2 linked regions of the Mytilus edulis genome follow. The protein of the gene in region 1 interacts with the protein of each later gene in a pairwise test. Links are inferred from orthologs where the notes say so. Each region holds a gene or a part of one and is shown on either strand. Other genes may lie near its edges.

What was found.
Region 2: the proteins of disks large homolog 1-like (region 1) and ATPase family AAA domain-containing protein 3-A-like interact in a two-hybrid assay, tested with the Caenorhabditis elegans proteins (3 studies listed by BioGRID). The link is inferred for Mytilus edulis from reciprocal best matches to the Caenorhabditis elegans genes dlg-1 and atad-3.

What each region holds. Positions count from the first base shown.
Region 1 is NC_092346.1:79,104,685-79,114,252, forward strand, and holds the start of disks large homolog 1-like, read left to right. Parts: upstream 1-5,558; 5' UTR 5,559-5,777; coding exon 5,778-5,796; intron 5,797-7,845; coding exon 7,846-7,977; intron 7,978-8,431; coding exon 8,432-8,565; intron 8,566-9,275; coding exon 9,276-9,434; intron 9,435-9,568. UniProt on the Caenorhabditis elegans protein: Essential multidomain scaffolding protein required for normal development. Recruits channels, receptors and signaling molecules to discrete plasma membrane domains in polarized cells. Required for proper embryonic elongation.
Region 2 is NC_092356.1:55,627,073-55,637,077, reverse strand, and holds the start of ATPase family AAA domain-containing protein 3-A-like, read right to left. Parts: upstream 3,876-10,005; 5' UTR 3,778-3,875; coding exon 3,588-3,777; intron 2,582-3,587; coding exon 2,505-2,581; intron 258-2,504; coding exon 96-257; intron 1-95. UniProt on the Caenorhabditis elegans protein: Essential for mitochondrial network organization, mitochondrial metabolism and cell growth at organism and cellular level. Important during development for the up-regulation of mitochondrial activity during the transition to higher larval stages.

The sequences.
Region 1 (9,568 bases):
TTAAAGTTGTCTGTATATTAGTTTGAGATATCCGGTGGTAATTTATTCGAATCTATGATTCATTGTTTGGCTGAATTAAGAATGACAAATTTGAAACTGTCTTTAATTGATACTTTGAACTTCATCTTGTCTGTTTATTGATGGGTAGGTCTTGTTTTAGACTGCATTTTATAAGTATATTTTTGCGGTGGTATTTGCTTCATTGTTGATAACTTTGTGAAAAATCTTTTGACCCAGTTTAGATTTTCTAGCATTTCAGATACACTTCTGGTTTTAAGCCAGTCATGATATCGTGCAGCTCTTTTTCCAATCTATATATATTTTCTGAGGTGCAGCAAAATTGTAATTTTGGTCTTACTATAGTCTGATAAGCTCTGTTTCCTTTACTAATTTAAGTTTATTTTTAGATTCCGTCTGATGAATGGTATTGATTGAGTTACCGTTTTCAGTGCTGCTGATTGTTATATGTATGTATGTATGTGTTTTTTTTTTTTTTGTTTTTTTTTTTTTTTATGTCTGCAGGAAGTGTAATGTCTAGATATTTTGCTGATTGTTCTTGTTCTAGGAAATAGCCATGCGTGTTGTAATAGAAATTGTTTTTTCTTTGTTGAGACTCTAAGGATGTTACATTTGTCCGGGTGGAATGATATGTGCCATACATTGCAGTCTTCCTCCTTTTTATGCCCCACCTCCGATAGGAGAGGGGCATTATGTTTTCTTGTCTGTGCGTCCGTCCGTCCGTCCCGCTTCAGGTTAAAGTTTTTGGTCAAGGTAGTTTTTGATGAAGCTGAAGTCCAATCAACTTGAAACTTAGTACACTTGTTGCTTATAATATGATCTTTCTAATTTTAAAGCCAAATTAGACTTTTGACCCCAATTTTACGGTCCACTGAACATAGAAAATGAAAGTGAGAGTTTCAGGTTAAAGTTTTTGGTCAAGGTAGTTTTTGATGAAGTTGAAGTCCAATCAACCTGAAACGTAGTACACATGTTCCCTATGGTATGATCTTTCTAATTTTAATACCAAATTTGATTAATTTTACCCAATTTCATGGTCTATTGAACATGGAAAATGATAGTGCGAGTGGGGCATCCGTGTACTTTGGACACGTTCTTGTTTTATTGCTGCTTTGATGTCTTCTTAAATTGAAGCTTAATGCAATCATTTTGGTAGGTTATATGCCGATAGATAATGCTGTCGTCTGCAAAGAGTCTTATTTTACTGTTACCAAGAAGGTCGTTAATATCATACTAGAACATGGAGAACTGAGAGTATTGGTGCTATTACAGTCCGCTGAGGAACTTGTCTATTCAGTAGACTCTTGCTTCGTAAATTTTTATCACATACGTTCATTTGAAAGACATGCGTATGACTTTATTCAGAGAAAGATCGAATCAAATAAAATCAAATAACTCAAATAAAATGTATACTAAGTCGGTTAATTAAAAAGCATATATAACGCTTGGGAAGTTTGCCAGTTGTCATGATTTGTGTACATTTGTTTCTATCAAGGCTAGAAAAGTTTGCCAGTTGTTATATTTGTGTACATTTGTTTCTATCAAGGCTTGAAAAGTTTATTGTTGGGTTTGCCAGTTGTTATATTTGTGTACATTTGTTTCTATCAAGGCTTGAAAAGTTTATTGTTGGGTTTGCCAGTTGTTATATTTGTGTACATTTGTTTCTACCAAGGCTTGAAAAGTTTGCCAGTTGTTATATTTGTGTACATTTGTTTCTATCAAGGCTTGAAAAGTTTGTTGTTGGTTTGCCAGTTGTTATATTTGTGTACATTTGTTTCTATCAAGGCTTGAAAAGTTTATTGTTGGGTTTGCCAGTTGTTATATTTGTGTACATTTGTTTCTATCAAAGCTTGAAAAGTTTGCCAGTTGTTATATTTGTGCACATTTGTTTCTATCAAGGCTTGAAAAGTTTATTGTTGGGTTTGCCAGTTGTTATATTTGTGTACATTTGTTTCTGTCAAGGCTTGACAAGTTTGCCAGTTGTTATATATTTGTGTACATTTGTTTCTGTCAAGGTTTGAAAAGTTTGCCAGTTGATATATTTGTGTACATTTGTTTCTATCAAGGCTTGGAAAGTTTGCCAGTTGTTATATTTGTGTACATTTGTTTCTATCAAGGCTTGGAAAGTTTGCCAGTTGTTATATTTGTGTACATTTGTTTCTATCAAGGCTTGAAAAGTTTATTGTTGGTGCATGATTGAGGATTTGTTGCATCTTATATACTTGTTTATACTCAATTGAATTATAGTATGGAGCTAAGCAATATTTATACACTTTTAACAGACGATTATATCAATTAATGGTAAAAAATATATAACAATGGAACAATATCAAAATGAAACCTTTAGCATGTAGTTTTATTAAATTGAACTACACTTGACTGTTTCGGAGATCCGAGAAAATATTCAAATATCTGAGTCACATCAAACATCTTCACATATAAATAAAACCTTTGTTGTGTACAACATGTACAAATTTTAACCAAAAGATATCTTCTTCATCTTCTTGTGCTTCTTCAATATCTTCTTCTTGCAGCATACGTGCCTGTTGTAATGCACTATCCAGTTTGTATACAGAAATCTTCAAATGGAAATAATTACAGTACATGACTGTATGTTTCATTTTGATACGTTATTCCTATTGTCTACCAGCAATCTCACGTCATTCAGAAATCAACCTTAATTTCCAAATCATCGGAAATATAACATTCGTGATGACAAGAGATACTTCTATTAAGTACACAGGTAAATAAAAGAAAAACTTTAACAGTCGTGTTTTCATGATCCTTCCTCGCTTCATACAAAATGTACTTCGGTCAACGCTTTTACACCTCTAAACATTTATGACATGCACAGCTGTAATATTCTCTGTGTGCTTCTTGGTTCAACGGTTGTCTGCTGCCAAGAATGCTGTTCTTCCATTTTCTTTTTCTGGTGGATGGAACCAGCAACTGCTTCGAATTTTTAACGGGTTTAATTTGATCAATTTGCATCCCGCTGTGTGAGTAACGTTGCCGTGTTGATTTTTTTGTACCACTTGTTCTTTCGTTATTTCTGGAACGCATGGTTTGTGCCGTTTATACAGTGGCGCCCTATCAGGAAGTTTTGTGCTGTTTCATATCCTCCGAAATCACACAGCTATGTTGTAGACCGCCCAAGTGTATATTCATTGTGGTCCAGATCCATTTATCCTTATGTCATAATTGTTTGTAATGTGACTTAGCTGGATATTAAGAATATATGTCATTTACCATTTGCATAAAAGGGTAATTAGCTGTTAAAAGTTTTAACTGATTTGACTCAAATTCTCATATTTAAATTATACATACTAAAACGTATACCCAAATAATAAAAAGTTTAAACTACACAATTGACGATGCACGGACTCGATCATATGTATCAATATTTCATGTGTATTTTAGTCTAAATGCCATCTAATCAGTAAGCATCGAGGTAATCTCAGAAGACTGCCGACGATCATATAACCCGATTTAACTTAAAATAGATAGCGAACTGAGTACTCGTGCAATTGTATTTTTTCAGGTCTGTTTGAATTAATATCGTAGGTTTAAAACATATGTTTATAATCGTTTTTACCTGTATAACAATTTTTTTTTTAATCCAATCAGTCATTTTTATATAACTTAGACCGTTGGTTTTCCCGTTTGAATGGTTTTACATTACTAATTGTTGGTGCCCTTTATAGCTTGCTTTTCGGTGTGAGCCAAGGCTCTGTGTTGAAGGCCGTACCTGGACCTATAATGGTTTACATTTATAAATTGTTATTTGGATGGAGAGTTGTCTCATTGGCACTCATACCACATATTTATAATAGTCAGTCAGTGAATAATTAAAAAAAAATAAAAATTGAATGGATGATTCCTAGCCATGAAAATTTGTCCTGCTCATGTAACTGTGATGATTCCAACAATGATGCAGATAACAATGTATCACAATTTTCAGTACTCTAACATTTCATGAATTGTTTCTAGAACAGTGAATAACGCCAAACCTCTCCCATTCCACCAATATTTATGTTTTTGTTCACAGTGATAAACAGTTACATATTTTTAATCAACTTTCTTTGCTCAAGATTAAAAAAAAAAGCAATATTATCTGGGGGTTACTTTTTCGAGAAACTCCACATCTCATTACCATATAATACACCTAATCGCTATTTATTCCATTCCGGATAAGTTCTAAAATTACACAACTTTTTCATCCAGTTGAAGCTATCTTGGACCCTGTTTAAACAATTCACCATGCATGATACTTTTTAATGAGACCTGTTTAAACTACCGTAAATACTTCAAACAAAATATTTTTTTTACTTCAATTTTAATTTCGAAAAAAGTGGATCATACTATATCAAAGTTTCTTGATGATCACTTTCTAATTTTTTTTCTCCCTCAGCTCACTACTGGTGACCTCCATTTTTTGGCCGGTGACCCAAACAGGAAGTTGTATAAATGACTGTTTTTCCCGGAATGGACTAAATAGCGATCAGGTGTATAGAATTGGCTTCTCTGCTAAGGCAGCAAGCATTTGATTTTCTGGGGGGGGGGGGGGGGGGGGCTATGTTTTTTTTTGGAAAAAAAAGTTTGTTTCCATTTTTTGGAGAAAAAAAATCATTTGTTTTTGATTCTGAGAAAAAAAAAATGTTTGTTTCACCCTCAGCTGCCACTATATGTAATGCTAAAATTGAAAGAAAAAAGATGTTTTCGACTTGTCGCGAAAAAAATCACAGGTGCTTGAGGACAGGATCCTGTATGAGCCCCAAATAGTCCCTCCCCCTTTTTTAAAATTTTTTTTTTTTAATCATAAATCTCAGATTTTTCTATATATATCCCTTATTTGTACCATATATATACTAATATACCATATTTATACTCTAAATATGCATGTTTACTATCAATAGTATAAATATGGTATATTAGTATATATATGGTACAAATAAGGGATATATATAGACAAATCTGAGATTTATGATTAAAAAAAAAATTTAAAAAAAGGGGGAGGGACTATTTGGGGCTCATACAGGATCCTGTCCTCAAGCACCTGTGAAAAAAATAGATTGTTTTTCGCAGCAGGCAAAAAAAAAATTGTCCCCCCCCCCCCCCCCCCCCGAAAATCAAATGGTTGCTGCCTTATCAAAAATACGAAAACATGTTTTTATCTAATATAAAACATATTTATCGTTTAAGATCAACTGACTCTTATGCTCAGAATTCATTTGTTGTCATGTTTAAAAGAAGTCGTGTTGGTATTTGGGTGAGTCTAAACGCGGACCTCTAAGAGGACACCTCCATGTTTCGTTCTTTCGGAATTTCGGATTTGAGCCTCAGGAGGAATCAATTTTTTAAGATTATTATATTGGTTAAGCTCACCGTTCATTGTAAACACTACAAAAAAAATCCATTTTGAAACAAACATTTTGAATTTTCACAAAATATAAAAACATTTGGAAATTATAAATAGAAAATAAGTATAACAATCCTGAAATAGCGGATCCCTTTAATCACGTGATTTATTAGTTTTGAATAGCCGCCATCTTTGCTGTTTCCTGTTTGTGGTCGTTTCCTGATTATCGTGAAGTGTCGCCAAACAATAATCCTGCATAAAATTAAGAGATAAAAATCACTGCAACAAATGTGTTTGCCATAAATTAATCACATCCTAGCGATTGCTTAAATAATAATAGACAGAATCTTGCAAACCACGAAGTGGGTGTGAGCACAAGAACACCAGCTTTTCGCAAGACATGCCGGTCAGAAAACAAGGTGCATTGCATTCCTGTTTATCATGAATATGTATATAATCAGTGTATAAAAGGCACATTGTTATAACCACGTTATATATTACAATAGTCACTATTGTAATATATCTGGGATATCTGGTCAACAAATTATTGCTTATTATCTTTTCAATCACATAGACCTTATGTCAAAAAAGAACAACTGTAGGTTGAAATTCATAAATAAAACAGTCTTAATGTGCAGTAAATATATGGTATTGTGTCCGTTAGCCCTGATAGGATGCTTGCCCAGGGACTGTTCACCCTGAGTCTATTTCCCCATAGAGTCTGTACGCCCTGGATATTAAACTTCTCCATTCTTTTATTGAAAAATATTTGTATGAGGGTGTCAAAGTTGAATATACTTATTCAGATATTTATATGGTATATAAATTCTAGTATAAATGAAAACACATGAAAATATTTAAAATTAATGGCGTGTTTGTGAGAATTGTAATTGTTCTTAATACTATATCTCTCACTGCTTGTCATAATAATTAATTGTCTTTGATGGATGAATAATAAAAACAACATTTTGTTTTGATAATTTAGTCAGCTTGAAATTTGAAATGAGTAAAAACAATTGTGTAGGAATTGTAAAACATAAGTTCATTCATTATAATATAATATAAATTGACTGACTAGAATTATTAAAATTGTAAAAGATATCAATATTAAAAGATAAATACATTGTATTCCAAAATTCTACTATGCAGACTAAAGGAAAATATTTGGTTGCAGCAATACAAATATTTTAGCAAATTTTTCCACATAAAGTAACATACTTTGTTCATGTTCAAATATTATATGAACATGATAGTGCAACTAGACAACAATATAAAAAACAAAAATCTGGGCAAACAGGTATAAGTGCAAACTAACCCTGGTTCTAAAATTACAACAACAAAAAACAGTCTTCACGCTGAACTGCTAAATTTACAGGCCCGCAGCTTAATTTTTGAAATTTTTTAGTTAGTTTCTGTTGGTCTGTAGGTCTGATTTTTTCAGGCCTGAGAGAAATTTTACCAGTTTTACCAGCCTGAGCTGCCACTCGGCGTGAAGACTGCAAAGGCTTTTGCTTTACTATAAAAGTTAACATGCATCTTCTTGATGAATTAACTCAAATAATTCATTTGCTCCCCATGAAAGATTTTCTCTACTGTGAGAACCTGAATTCCTTTTATGATTAAAACATGTTCTCATCAATGTTCTCTGTGTGAGAGAGTCAATCAGCAGAAATACAATGTTATTGAGGTAGATAAAAAAAAACAAAAAAAAGAAACATTTAAATTGAGTTATAAATCTAGTGAAAACAAGACCTACGTGTATAATTGTTAATTTCTGTGTCATTTGATCTCTTGTGGAGAGTTGTTTCATTGGCAATATTAGTGAATCATACCATATCTTCTTTTTTATATGCACAAACTGGCCAAACCATCGCCTCGATTAAAAAAAATTGTACCATTAATAATATATATGAGAAATTAAAAAGTATATTGTCTGTGAGAAACTGTTCTCAAACTCTCTCCCACTTGCAAAATAAAATATCCCATTGTAACTTGGCCCATCTGCGTTCTTGATATGTTCTAGCTATAGTCTTTTAAATTTATACACACCACTTAAAAAATGCTTAAGTAACGGCTCGTGTAGTAAATTTAAATCTTATACTATTTTAGTGTTTTAACTTATTTTCAAATTCAACATTTTATAACTAAAATGAAACAAATTCAGGAAATATGCCTGACTTTTTTTCTGAAATTGAATAGTCCTTATCTGATTTATGAAAAATTTACATGCACATGCAAATTTCTCAAAATATCTAATTTTTTTGTTACTTCATGTAAGTGCTAGTGATTACATACATGTATTCAGTGAAAGCTTCATCTTTTGGTTTACGCTTTCCTGGATACATGTACCTGAGGCTGATTGTTTATGTCTTTGAAAATGAAGAGGTTACTGCGAACAGGTGAATGTTGCTTTCGAACAAGATGTTTAATACAATTTTGCATTTTTCTTTTTTCTCTTCTTTTCATAGATGCCCACAGGGCTTTAGAATTGTTAGAGGACTACCATTCCAGGCTTAGTCTTCCACAAGACACCCAGCTCAAGGTTGCTATAGAGAAAGTCATAAGAATTTTCAAAAGTCGCCTATTTCAGGCACTTCTTGGTATGTAAAATTAATATTTAAGGTGGAAGTTCTTCTTTTATTTAAGACAGAGTGATTGGCTCAATTTTTGGAATACAACATTTTTACATAAGGTACATGCACATGATCCACATTAACTTAGTTTGCATGATACGCAATGATTAAGGCCTTTATTATTATCTACATGTATATAAAAACTGAATATTATTGCATTTCAATAACAAGTGATTTGCACAAAGTTACTGATTTAGTATTAGTTATAATTACTGCATTACAAATTTATAATAATGGTTTTATACTTTGCTTAACAAAGCAAGGACTGTAGTACTGAATTTGGCATGTACAGAGGCTAAAATTATGTTCATGGTTTTAACCTATTTAAATGTTACATAATGTACTATCACATTAGAATAAAAAAAAAATGTATCTGGTATAAATGGAGCTAATTGAAAATGATACTAACTTCTGTTTTCAGACATACAAGAGTTTTATGAGTATACATTGTTAGATGACTCAAAATCTATACAACAGAAGACATTGGAGACCTTACAGATAGCTAACAAGTGGGAGAGAGAACCACCTATCACCAATGCTCTTCCTAAACTTGAGGTTGTTATTGTACCTAGAAATGTTAATTCATGATTTTGCAGAAAGCTCAAATATTAATATTATAATCTCAATATGTTACCCATTTAAGATGATATGAATAAGAAGATATTGTACGAGTGTTAATGAGACAACCTTCAATCCAAGTCACTATGTATAAAAAGTTCACAATAATAGGTCTAAGTACAGCCTTAAACATGCCAGAGGCTTGGCAAAATTGAGACAAAATTCTATCTTATTTGTTTTACATAATTTATAGAAGTTGATTCAAATTAGCAAAGCTGTCTTATTAAGTGAAGGGCATATGCATAGCTACACAGATCAAATTGTCAAGTGTGTTTTACAGTTGCATTTCAAATAAAATTTGTATATGACAGCAAAATTTTTGCATAAGTACATGCATTTGTTGTCAGCAATATTGTCAAAAGACTTTTTGTTTCCTGACAATATCTTGAATATAAGTGTATAGATTCACACCACAAAAGTAAGGTTGTGATTGATTTTGGTGATCATTAAAATTTCAAGCAGGATAGTCGAACTCAGAAATCAACCAATCAAAATACAGAAATTTGTTGTTTCAAGCAAATATTTTGTACTCCTGAGTACTGTGTAAAGTAAAATAACAATAAGCCCTAGAGATCAATCTACAATTCATTTTATACCAATAAATATCTGACTTTCAGAAGTTTTATTTTGCAAATTTATGCTTCTAGAAAACTGTGTCACCTCCTGATGAAGAGTTACCTCCCCCTCCACCAGAGTTACAAAATAGACAGGTTGAACCAAAGACATTAGCTTCTGTATCCCCTGTCAAACCACCAGTTGTTAGCACATACCATGAAGATGACATTGACAACACTCTTCCACCACCAGTAAGTAGAGATATATCCTTGTACACAAGTTACTCACCATTATCTTAATACATGTATCAGCAATTCCTAAACTAAAGAGTGCTTCTGGGGAGCCAACATAGTCTTTTAATGTAACTGTGTGCTGTATCTATTAG
Region 2 (10,005 bases), on another chromosome or scaffold:
CAATTACTATGTTAAGAAATCATTGAAAAGTAGATCTGACAGTGAATGCTACAAAGGTAGGGAGAACATACTCAGGTTTTCACGAGTTTCCTTACTTGTTGTGATAACTGATCATCATAGCGTTTCCGTGCCAACTGATCCTGGAATTGAGCTCTCTGCTGATGTTGTTTTGTTTCTTCAACTAATGTCTTTCTTCTTTCCTCTTGTGCAACTCTTGCTTGCTCTATTTTCAGCTGTTCTATTTGGCCTTCCATTTCCTAAATATAAGAGTCAATTCAAAAATAACAAATGGAAAATACACAAAAATGAATCAAGTTTTTAAAAGTTAAAACTATATATAGGTGTTTTGAGGCAGTACTATGGTAGTCAGGGTTTCCGCTGGCGGTCGTCATTTTCGCAATTTGCTCTGACTTTACCCGATCAGACAATACTCGGAATTCACCTTGACCTTATTACGATTTGGACAGAAAATCAATAATCAGCTGATTGCATTTGATTGCATTTGATAGCTATCGACAACAAAGGACTAATTAATAAAGGTGTTGATTGAATTGTTTGACAAAATGATATGGTTAAATGTCTTCCGCTAATGTCAAATACAGAATTTATTTACCACTTTGCGACGCACGTGTTTGAAGCAAACTTTTGACGTCTCCTCTCCTTTTAAAGATAGTTTAGAAAAGAAAGCTGTTGTTGTGACGAAAAATTTTCAAAAGCAAGAAAAATCTCCGATTTAAAACTTTAACTATCCTTTGACTTTAACATAGGTAATTGATTAGGGAGAGTACTTTAAAGTCGTTTGAGTGACACGTGTGTTTCAAGCATAGTTTTACGTCTCAACCTTTTCATTTACGATGGTCAAGAAGAGAAAACTGTTGTTATGAAGAAATCTATCCAAAAGGTTGGGAACAACCCCTCGAATGAGAGTAGCCCTTCAATGTTATGACTACACATGAAATGAGGGATCAAAATATCATGTGATAAAAGCTTTTGTTTTGTTGTAAAAACCACTTCTTAGTACAAAAGGGCACATCAATATTTTTCTTTTAAAGAAACTTTCCCTACGAACTATACTGGTATTATATAATCAAAACATGTCCATTAATTTTGTTGTATTCCAGGACTTATATCTTCTTTATTATTAAAAGTATAGTGGCCCCCTCATTTAGAAAGAGGGACGAAAGATACCAAAGGGACAGTCAAACTCATAAATCTAAAACAAACTGACAATGCCATGGCTAAAAATGAAAAAAAACCCCAGAAAAACAATAGTACACATGACACAACATAGAAAACTAAAGAATAAACAACACGAACTCCACAAAAAACTAAGGGTGATCTCAGGTTAAAAGTTGTTTAAAATACAATAAATATTTTTCCCTTTTATGTTAAAAACAAAATCTGTTGTTTTAAAGTAAATGTTTAGTGTTTATTCATTAAATGTAGACTCTAAAATAAGTTTGACAGAATAATCATAGACACAATGGGACAAAATCAACTTATTTAAGGCAAAAGGGGGGAGGGGATAAGAAAAAAAGGAAAATTTTAAACGAAAAATATAGTTATGTTACTTGGCGAAAAAAATAATAAAGTGGGGAAAAATATATTGTTTTGGCGAAAGACGTGGCGAAAAAAATAATTGACCCAAGGGAAACCCTGATGGTAGTTTAGAACAGGATTGGCTTGGCAGGCAATATCTTATAAAATATTTATACATGATAATCATATAAATGGAAATATTTTGAATGCTATCTAACAGAAACTTATTGAACTGCATAAAAACTGTGAGTTGGACGAGGCAACACTAAGCACCAAGATTTCCTCTCAAAAGCAAGGATGTATATGCATTGTTGTGCAAAGCATAACCATATTAGAAGATTTTAATGAAAATTTGTAGTTAATCCAGCATTTCAATTTTAGCATGACATCATGGATATTAAATTAACAGTATCCATACACCATGTACACATGACATGTTACATGTACATAATGTATGTTTAAAAGAAACTTTTAACAGATTTTTAATTTTTCAATTGAATATTTCATGTTTTGTGACACACTACATGTAATATATATATATCATTAGCAAAGTTTTGAATGTTTTATACTGTTTTTAAAAACTTATTTTATGATTTTCCTGTGTCTTACAAAAACTGTTACCACTAACCAGCTCATCAAATGTACAGTTGATTTTCAGTGGTTGTCGTTTGTTAATGAGGTTCGTAAATGTTTCTTGTTACTTTTTTTTTTATACAGATTAGAATGTTGATTTTCTTGTTTGAATGGTTTTACACTAGTCATTTTTGTGGCCCTTTATAGCTTGCTTTTAGGTGTAAGCCAAGGCTCTGTGTTTAAGTCTGTACATTGACCTATAATGGTTTACTTTTACAAATTATGACTTATGGGGAGATCTCATTGGCACTCATACCACATCTTCTTATATCTAAGAACACATAAACATGATAAATCTCATGTATTAGACAATAGACAAAATTCCACAATACCTTAAGCTTCTTTTGATTTTCAAGTTGTAAAGTTGTCTCTTGCATTTTAGATAATTCCAATGCTTCTTTGGAGTGTTCTGAAGAAAAAATATCATATCATAGAAACTGTCATATAGATTTTTGTATCATGTTTATTAAATATTCACAGTACACCCAAATATACAATACCATGATTACCATGATTACAAGAATTAATTTATCATTACTTTGGGAAGTTATTGAAAATTTAATGCACTAATAAATGCATAAAAGTATGATTTTACGTACATGATGTATAGGCAATTTTTGTTTGCCGTCAATAAAAATTTTTACGGTTAAATTTGGTTTCAAAGTTGAATGAAAATTCCCTCTCAAAATCCAAACCTAAAGAAAATGGCTTCTCAGCATAATGACATCTCAGTAAGGCATGACTTTTCTGGTGAAAAGTTAAGACAATTATAGAGAACCACTTTTAACATGATTGGAGCGCCCCTCCCTTTTAACCCTCTTGCTGCCAGAGGGATTATACTCAGGAGTATACTCCGGCTGTGCAGGAGTGACACAAATGTCCAAAGTTAAATTTATGCAAGCACATCGTCTCTTTCAATTATAAGATCCAAGATCAAACTGTGCTTTGTTTTTGTTCAATGGGTCCCAAATGTAACAGCCATTATGTTGTGATGTCATATACCGAATGAAGTTGTTTGGCATGTTACGTCACAGACGTTGAGCTGTCATATTTCCTGGCACATGAAATGCAACCTTGAAAAACGGTCTGCAACAAGAGGGTTAAGTTAGTTCATTGACCACTCATAAAAAATTCTGGACCCACCACTGCATAATCATTGCCTGGTGAGTACTCTACAGCAACATAATTATGACATGCACCACTTCAAGTACAGATTTAAAAATTGACATGATCAGACTGGGAACATTTACACTATAGAGTATAGTAAGATAAAATGGCCTATTGGCTAATGAGATTTTATGTAACCTTCGATTTCAAGGACATTGTTTCATCAGCAATTTGTAATGGTTGCATTCATTATTTATCAAACCAATATGTCATACAAGTGTTAGGGATGACACTTAACGTGTTCTTACTTGTAGCTTCCAATTCCTTAGCTGCTTTTGCTGCTCTTTCCAGGGCTGCAGAGTCAAATCGGTATGCATCCATTTTCGACTGAGATCCATCTTTTCCTCCCTTGTCATCGCCATCTGGTGGTGCGGGCGGGTAGGGGATTTGTGGTGGTTGAATATTCTGTCCCTTATTTGTACCAAACAGCCACGACATGTTTAATTCAGGTCCAAAACCTTCTTGGACTGGAATACAGAAAAAGCTTCTGCAAACTCACGTGTAGTAAATTGTCGATCTTGCGCAATCACTACATCCGGTTCTTTTATTGGGTAGGATCAAGTTCGGACAGTTATGTTGTGTTTCCGGGTTTTGACGTGTATATGTTACAGTAAATAGGTGAAATTAGGAATCACACGTAATTACTAAACATTTCAGTAAATACCTGTAATTACTAGCCAATTTAGTAATTACATGTATTTACTAGTTGTTTCAGTGATTACTGGTATTCACTGATTTTTTTTGTCATTTTTACAGCTATTTACTAACTTGATATTTTTGTTTTAAAATTAAAGATATAATCCAAGATACAAAATAAGAAAGTAAAAGGGTAGGTATTTAAGGGCTGACTTAATTAAGGATTAATGAATATAAGGCACACCTTTAGTGGTTGTGAATTGAAACTGAAAAATGGTTGTTTTAAAAGTATTGAAACTCCCTTAATATCATTTGCAGCATGCAAGACAATGATATCAATCCAAAATTGAGATATACATTTGTGAGAAGTTTATAGTCAACTTTGCCAGCTCTTTTTGATGATAAACATTTGATAATGCCAATTTTGGTTGAATAATTCTTAAAATCTCATAATTTCTTTATATTGCAATCTTCATCAGGCATACTCTGCTTACTTCATTTGCTTTAATATTTTATATTGATCAATTAAATCAAAATCAATCATATTATGTCCTTTTAACCTATTTTTAATTTACTTTACATTATGTTTGAAAATAACATTGTAATTGTTCTGCTCATTTTGGGCGCCGTGATTGGCAAATAAAATATTTGTTGTTTGTTGTTGTTGTTGCATATAAACTTGCCCAATGACATAAGTCAAATTCCTTTTATAAAATAGTTTTATTTACGACTTCTTTTGTCAGACTGTCGTGATAAAGCTGACATTCTTCACAAACAAATTTATACAATTTGATGGTGTTAAGGGTCACATTTCATATTTTTGTGTTTCTCTTTTTTATGAGTTTTTCAAGAACTCAAAACTCCAGCTTATATACCTGCAACAAAATTTTATTACCGTTTTTATCTGTATAAGAAAAATCTGTTGTGGATTGAATAAGCCATTCCTTTTGATTTTCTTTCAATGTTGTCATTATGATTATGTTTCTTTTTGTCGAGCCTGCGACCATTGTCGCAAAAGCGAGACACAGCAAACTATTCTGTCGTCAGTAACATTCACAAGTATTCACTATGTGGTTAAAGGTCTTCAAATTTTGATAACTTTCTTAAATTATCCTGGATTTCTACCAAACGTGAACAGAAGCTTGACTGTAATTATGAGATAATTTTCAAGAAGTAAATTTTGTGAAAATAACATTAAGTTTTTCCGTATTTTACTTATAAATGGACTTATATATGCCAGTTAACATTACATTCACATTGTGGTTAAAGTTTTAAATTTTTTTATAACTTTCTCAGAATATCCAAACTTGGACAGAAGCTTGTTTATGATCATAAGATAATATACAAAGTAAAAAATCCCTTTTGGTATATTCCTTATAAATGGACTTTTTTCCCCCACTTAACATTACATACAGTCTGCGATTAAAGTTTTTTTAAACATTTATTAGATTTCATAAACCATCCTGGATTTTAACCAAATTAAGACAGAAGCTTCTTACAGCACTAGTCAAAATATTTGATATTTTCCCCCCATTTTTGTTGAGCCTGCGACTAACAGCTAAAGTAGGCGAGATACTGGGTTCTGCGAAACCCTTACAATTTTAAATCTGAATACATCGGTAACCTATCTTCAGCTAGGTGTTGAATTGAAGTTCACATGAGGTCCAATTATTCACTTGCAAGTGCAAAAATCATCAACCATGTTTCTCTGCTTATTTTAGTAAAATAGAACCAGATTGACTGCTAAAAGTGAATTATAATTTCCCTATATAATTTTCATTAATGATTTAACAAACAAAAAAATTCGTAAGGGTTCCGCGGAACCCAGTGTCTCGCCTACTCAGTTTGCTGTTAATTGCAGACTCAACAAAAATGAGGAAAAACAACAACAAAAATTTCCCTCTCGATACTGTTTTTTTTATTGAAAGAGCTTCCAAATTTGGTAAAAATCCAGGATAGTTTATGAATCTAATAAATGTTTTATAAACTTTAACTGCAGACGGTATGTAATGTTAACTGGAAGAAAACCTAAGTCCATTTATAAGTAAAATACGGAAAAAGTGGATTTTATTTTACAAAATTTACTTCTGAATAATATCTTATGATCACAAACAAGCTTTTGTCCAAGTTTGGTAGAAATCCAGGATAGTTTAAGAACATTATAAAAATTTTAAAAACTTAAACCACAGAATGAATGTTTTGTTTCTGGCAAAAAAACTAAGTCCATTTATAAGTAAAATACGGAAAAGTGGAAATTTATTTTTACAAAATTATCTTCTTGATACTATCTTATGATCATAAACAAGCTTCTGTCCAAGTTTGGTACAAATCATGGATAGTTTATATGAAAGTTATTAAAATTTTAAAAACTTTAACCACAGAGTGAATGTAATGTTTCCTCGCAGAATAACTAAGTCCCTTTATAAGTAAAATACGGAAAAAATGGAATTTTATTTTTACAAAATTTACTTCTGGATACTTTCTTATGATCATAAACAAGCTTCTGTCCAAGTTTCGTAGAAATCCAGTATAGTTTAAGAAAGGTATTAAAATTTCAAAAACTTTAACCACAGAGTGAATATTCTATAGCTAGAATTCCCATAACTTTTGATCAGCTTACCATATTACAACATTGTTTTAACAGTTAGTAAATAGGTGTAAAAATTCATTTTAAAATTAGTAATTACTGGTAATAACTGGGCCGTTTCAGGAATTACTTGTATTTACTAAGTACATCGGGGATTACATGTAATTCCTAAATTTTAGTAATTACATGTAATTCCTAATTTCACCTATTTACTGTAACATATACAATACAATACAAAGTTTTTTATTGTCAATTATGACGCCCAATAATTTGAGCAGTACAATTAAGTTCAATTTCATACAAGTGATTACATATTGATTACATTGATTATTTAACAATTAAACAAAGTCAAGTATTTTCAACCAAATAATTTCTGCAGAAATATATATAGTTTTACAATATAATATAGATGGACAAACTACCGGTGACTAAACTGTATCTATAATTGATTTTCTCTCTTTGAATAAAGTACACAATAATAAACTTACTTTTTTAATTATAACATTATCTTCAGATGACATAAACTAAGGATTTGTACAAATCCTTGCATAAACCATATTAATTTTGATTTATTTGGGAGTCTTTTAAAGTTTTTGTTAACCTTATTTAAGTAATCTATATATTCAGATCTTTTATTTTCTAAAACAGGACACTGAAGAAGAAAATGAATTTCATCTTCAACTTCAGTGTTACATAATTTACATATTCTATCCTCCACTCGAAGCCCCACATATCTGCCTCTTTCAATTTCTAATTTATGTGCACTGACTCTGAACTTAGTGAGCAGTCGCCTTTCATCCTCATTTAAAATTAATAAGTATTTTTCCATATAAATATTTTCTTTAAATAATCTGTAAGTTCTTAGTCTATTTCCATGCTGTTTATTTTGTCTATCATTGTAAAGTTCAGATTTCCAAATACAAGAATATTTCTGTTTTAATTTCTGGTAAATTAGGGATTTTAAATCCTTCTTTGAATTTTTAACAAGTTTAAGATCTATATCAAGATATTTCATAAGAACAGCAATACAACTATACCAACTATTTTTGTTTAAACTATTTAGTGATCTAGAGACATTCAGGGCTTCAGAGAGAAGGATATAATCAGCAGGGACGGATCCAGCCATTTTAAAAAGGGGGGTTCCTAACCCAGGACAAAGGAGGGGGGTTCCAACTACATGCCCCCATTCAAATGCATTGATCGTCCAAAAAGGGGGGGTTCCAACCCCCAGAACCCCCCCCCCCCTCTGGATCCGCGCCTGATCAGACTTTAATATATTTTTATAATATCTAAACATATTGAAAATTACTTAAAGAAATAAGGGATATCTTCTCATTTCACCCAATACAGCTATATTTGTAGATTTTTTACCTAAACCCAAAGAAAATTTACAGAATTTGACATGAATACTTTCTTGTTTCATGTCCTTGCATATTTTAAAAAGATCATGTTCATTTTAATATAGTTTATTTATTACTGAAGATCCCCATATTTCACTCCCATATAACAACACAGGTTTCACAGTATGATCAAATATATGTGAAAGTGTGTTAATTTTAGGTTTATATAAGTTAAAACTGTTTTAATATTTAAATAAAGCTTTCAATCCCCTTTTCTATAAATCATCTTTAGCCTCTGTAAAGCTTCCACTTGCACTCACATAAATTCCTAAATATTTATAGCCCCTAGCCCTTTCAATAGGTATATTATTAATATTAAATATTTGTTCATCTAGTTTTCCTGTTTTAATAAATACTACTGATTTAGTTTTCTTTATATTTATTTGGAGTCCCCATTTATCACAGTAATTATATAGTGTATCAATACACCTCTGTAGACCATCAGCTGTTTCTGACATCACTACTAAGTCATCTGCATACAATAAGCAATTAAGCTGTAAGCAGGTTTACAGGTCTCATCATAAGAGTCAAGAATATCATTTATAAAAATTTTAAATAAAGTGGGGCTTAAATTATCCCCTTGTTTGACTCCTATGTTAGATGTAAAGTTTTCAGTCATAGAATATTTGTCTACCTTTACACTAGCTCAATATTATTATACATATCTGAGTGTTATAAAATAAATCACTGACTCCAATATTTCTCAGTTTATAAAAAAAGTCCATCATGATTAACAGTATCAAAGGCTCTTCGTAGGTCAACAAAGCATGTAAAGAATTTTTTATTGCCTTGTTGAGTATACTTTTTTATAAGAGTTCTCAAAACTAAATGATGATCACTGGTGCGCTTGCCTTTACAGAAACCAATTTGTTCCGGTTTAATAATATTTCTACTTGCCAAAACCTTCTCTAAACGAATATTTAAAATTTCCACACATAACTTGCCTAAACAATTTCCAATGGTAATTCCTCTACAATTTGAAGAGGGTCTTTGAAGGATCATCTTTTGAACCACTTTTAAATAAAGGAACTATTAATATATCCTTTTGTCCAAATTTTGAGAAAATATCCTGAGTTTAAGATACTATTAAACAATTTTTGAAAACAAGACTCATGTTTGACTGGACTTTAACATTTCATTTAAAATTGAGTCGAAACCACTTGCTTTTTTATTTTTAAGTGTACTAATCGCCTTTTCTATTTCTGCTTTTGAAATCAAATTATCAAGTTCAGTAAATATTTTTTCTCTTTCCATGTCTTTTAGCTTATCTTTTAAATGATCACAGGATGCATTAGTGTCTTTTTCATTTAAATTTTTGAAATAAGAAAACCAAGCATCCTGCTCCATAATTAAGTTTTTCACGGCCAGTGGAATAAGACTTATAAAATAAAGAACATTGTTGATATCTCATAAACATGTTTAATTAACCCCGCCGCATTTTTGTGCCTGTCCCAAGTCAGGAGCCTCTGGCCTTTGTTAATCTTGTATTATTTTTATTTTAGTTTCTTGTGTACAATTTGGAAATTAGTATGGCGTTCATCACTGAACTAGTATATATTTGTGTAGGGGCCAGCTGGAGGACGCATCCGGATGCGGGAATTTATCGCTACATTGAAGACCTGTTGGTGACCTTCTGCTGTTGTTTTTTCTATGGTCAGGTTGTTGTCTCTTTGACACATTCCCCATTTCCATTCTCAATTCTATTGTGCCGAAGCACAAAACTATTGAATTACTTGGGGATAAATGAGTGGTGCTGATTATTAAATGGTATCGATTAGAGAACAAGAAATTGGGATGTAAGATCGTAATCCCATTTGAGGAATTAATCTCGATCTCAGTCTACGCAAAGTCCCATCTCCTTAATCCATTCAATATCTCATTAATAAAGATTTCAAGAATATTTTTTTTAACCTTCGGAGAATTCAATAAAAAGTGACTGATATACTTTTAACAGAATGAATAGAGCTACATGTAGATAATGAAATCTGTTGTGCAATCAAAGCTAATAAAAAAAAAACATACACAGTTTCATAGATATAGTTG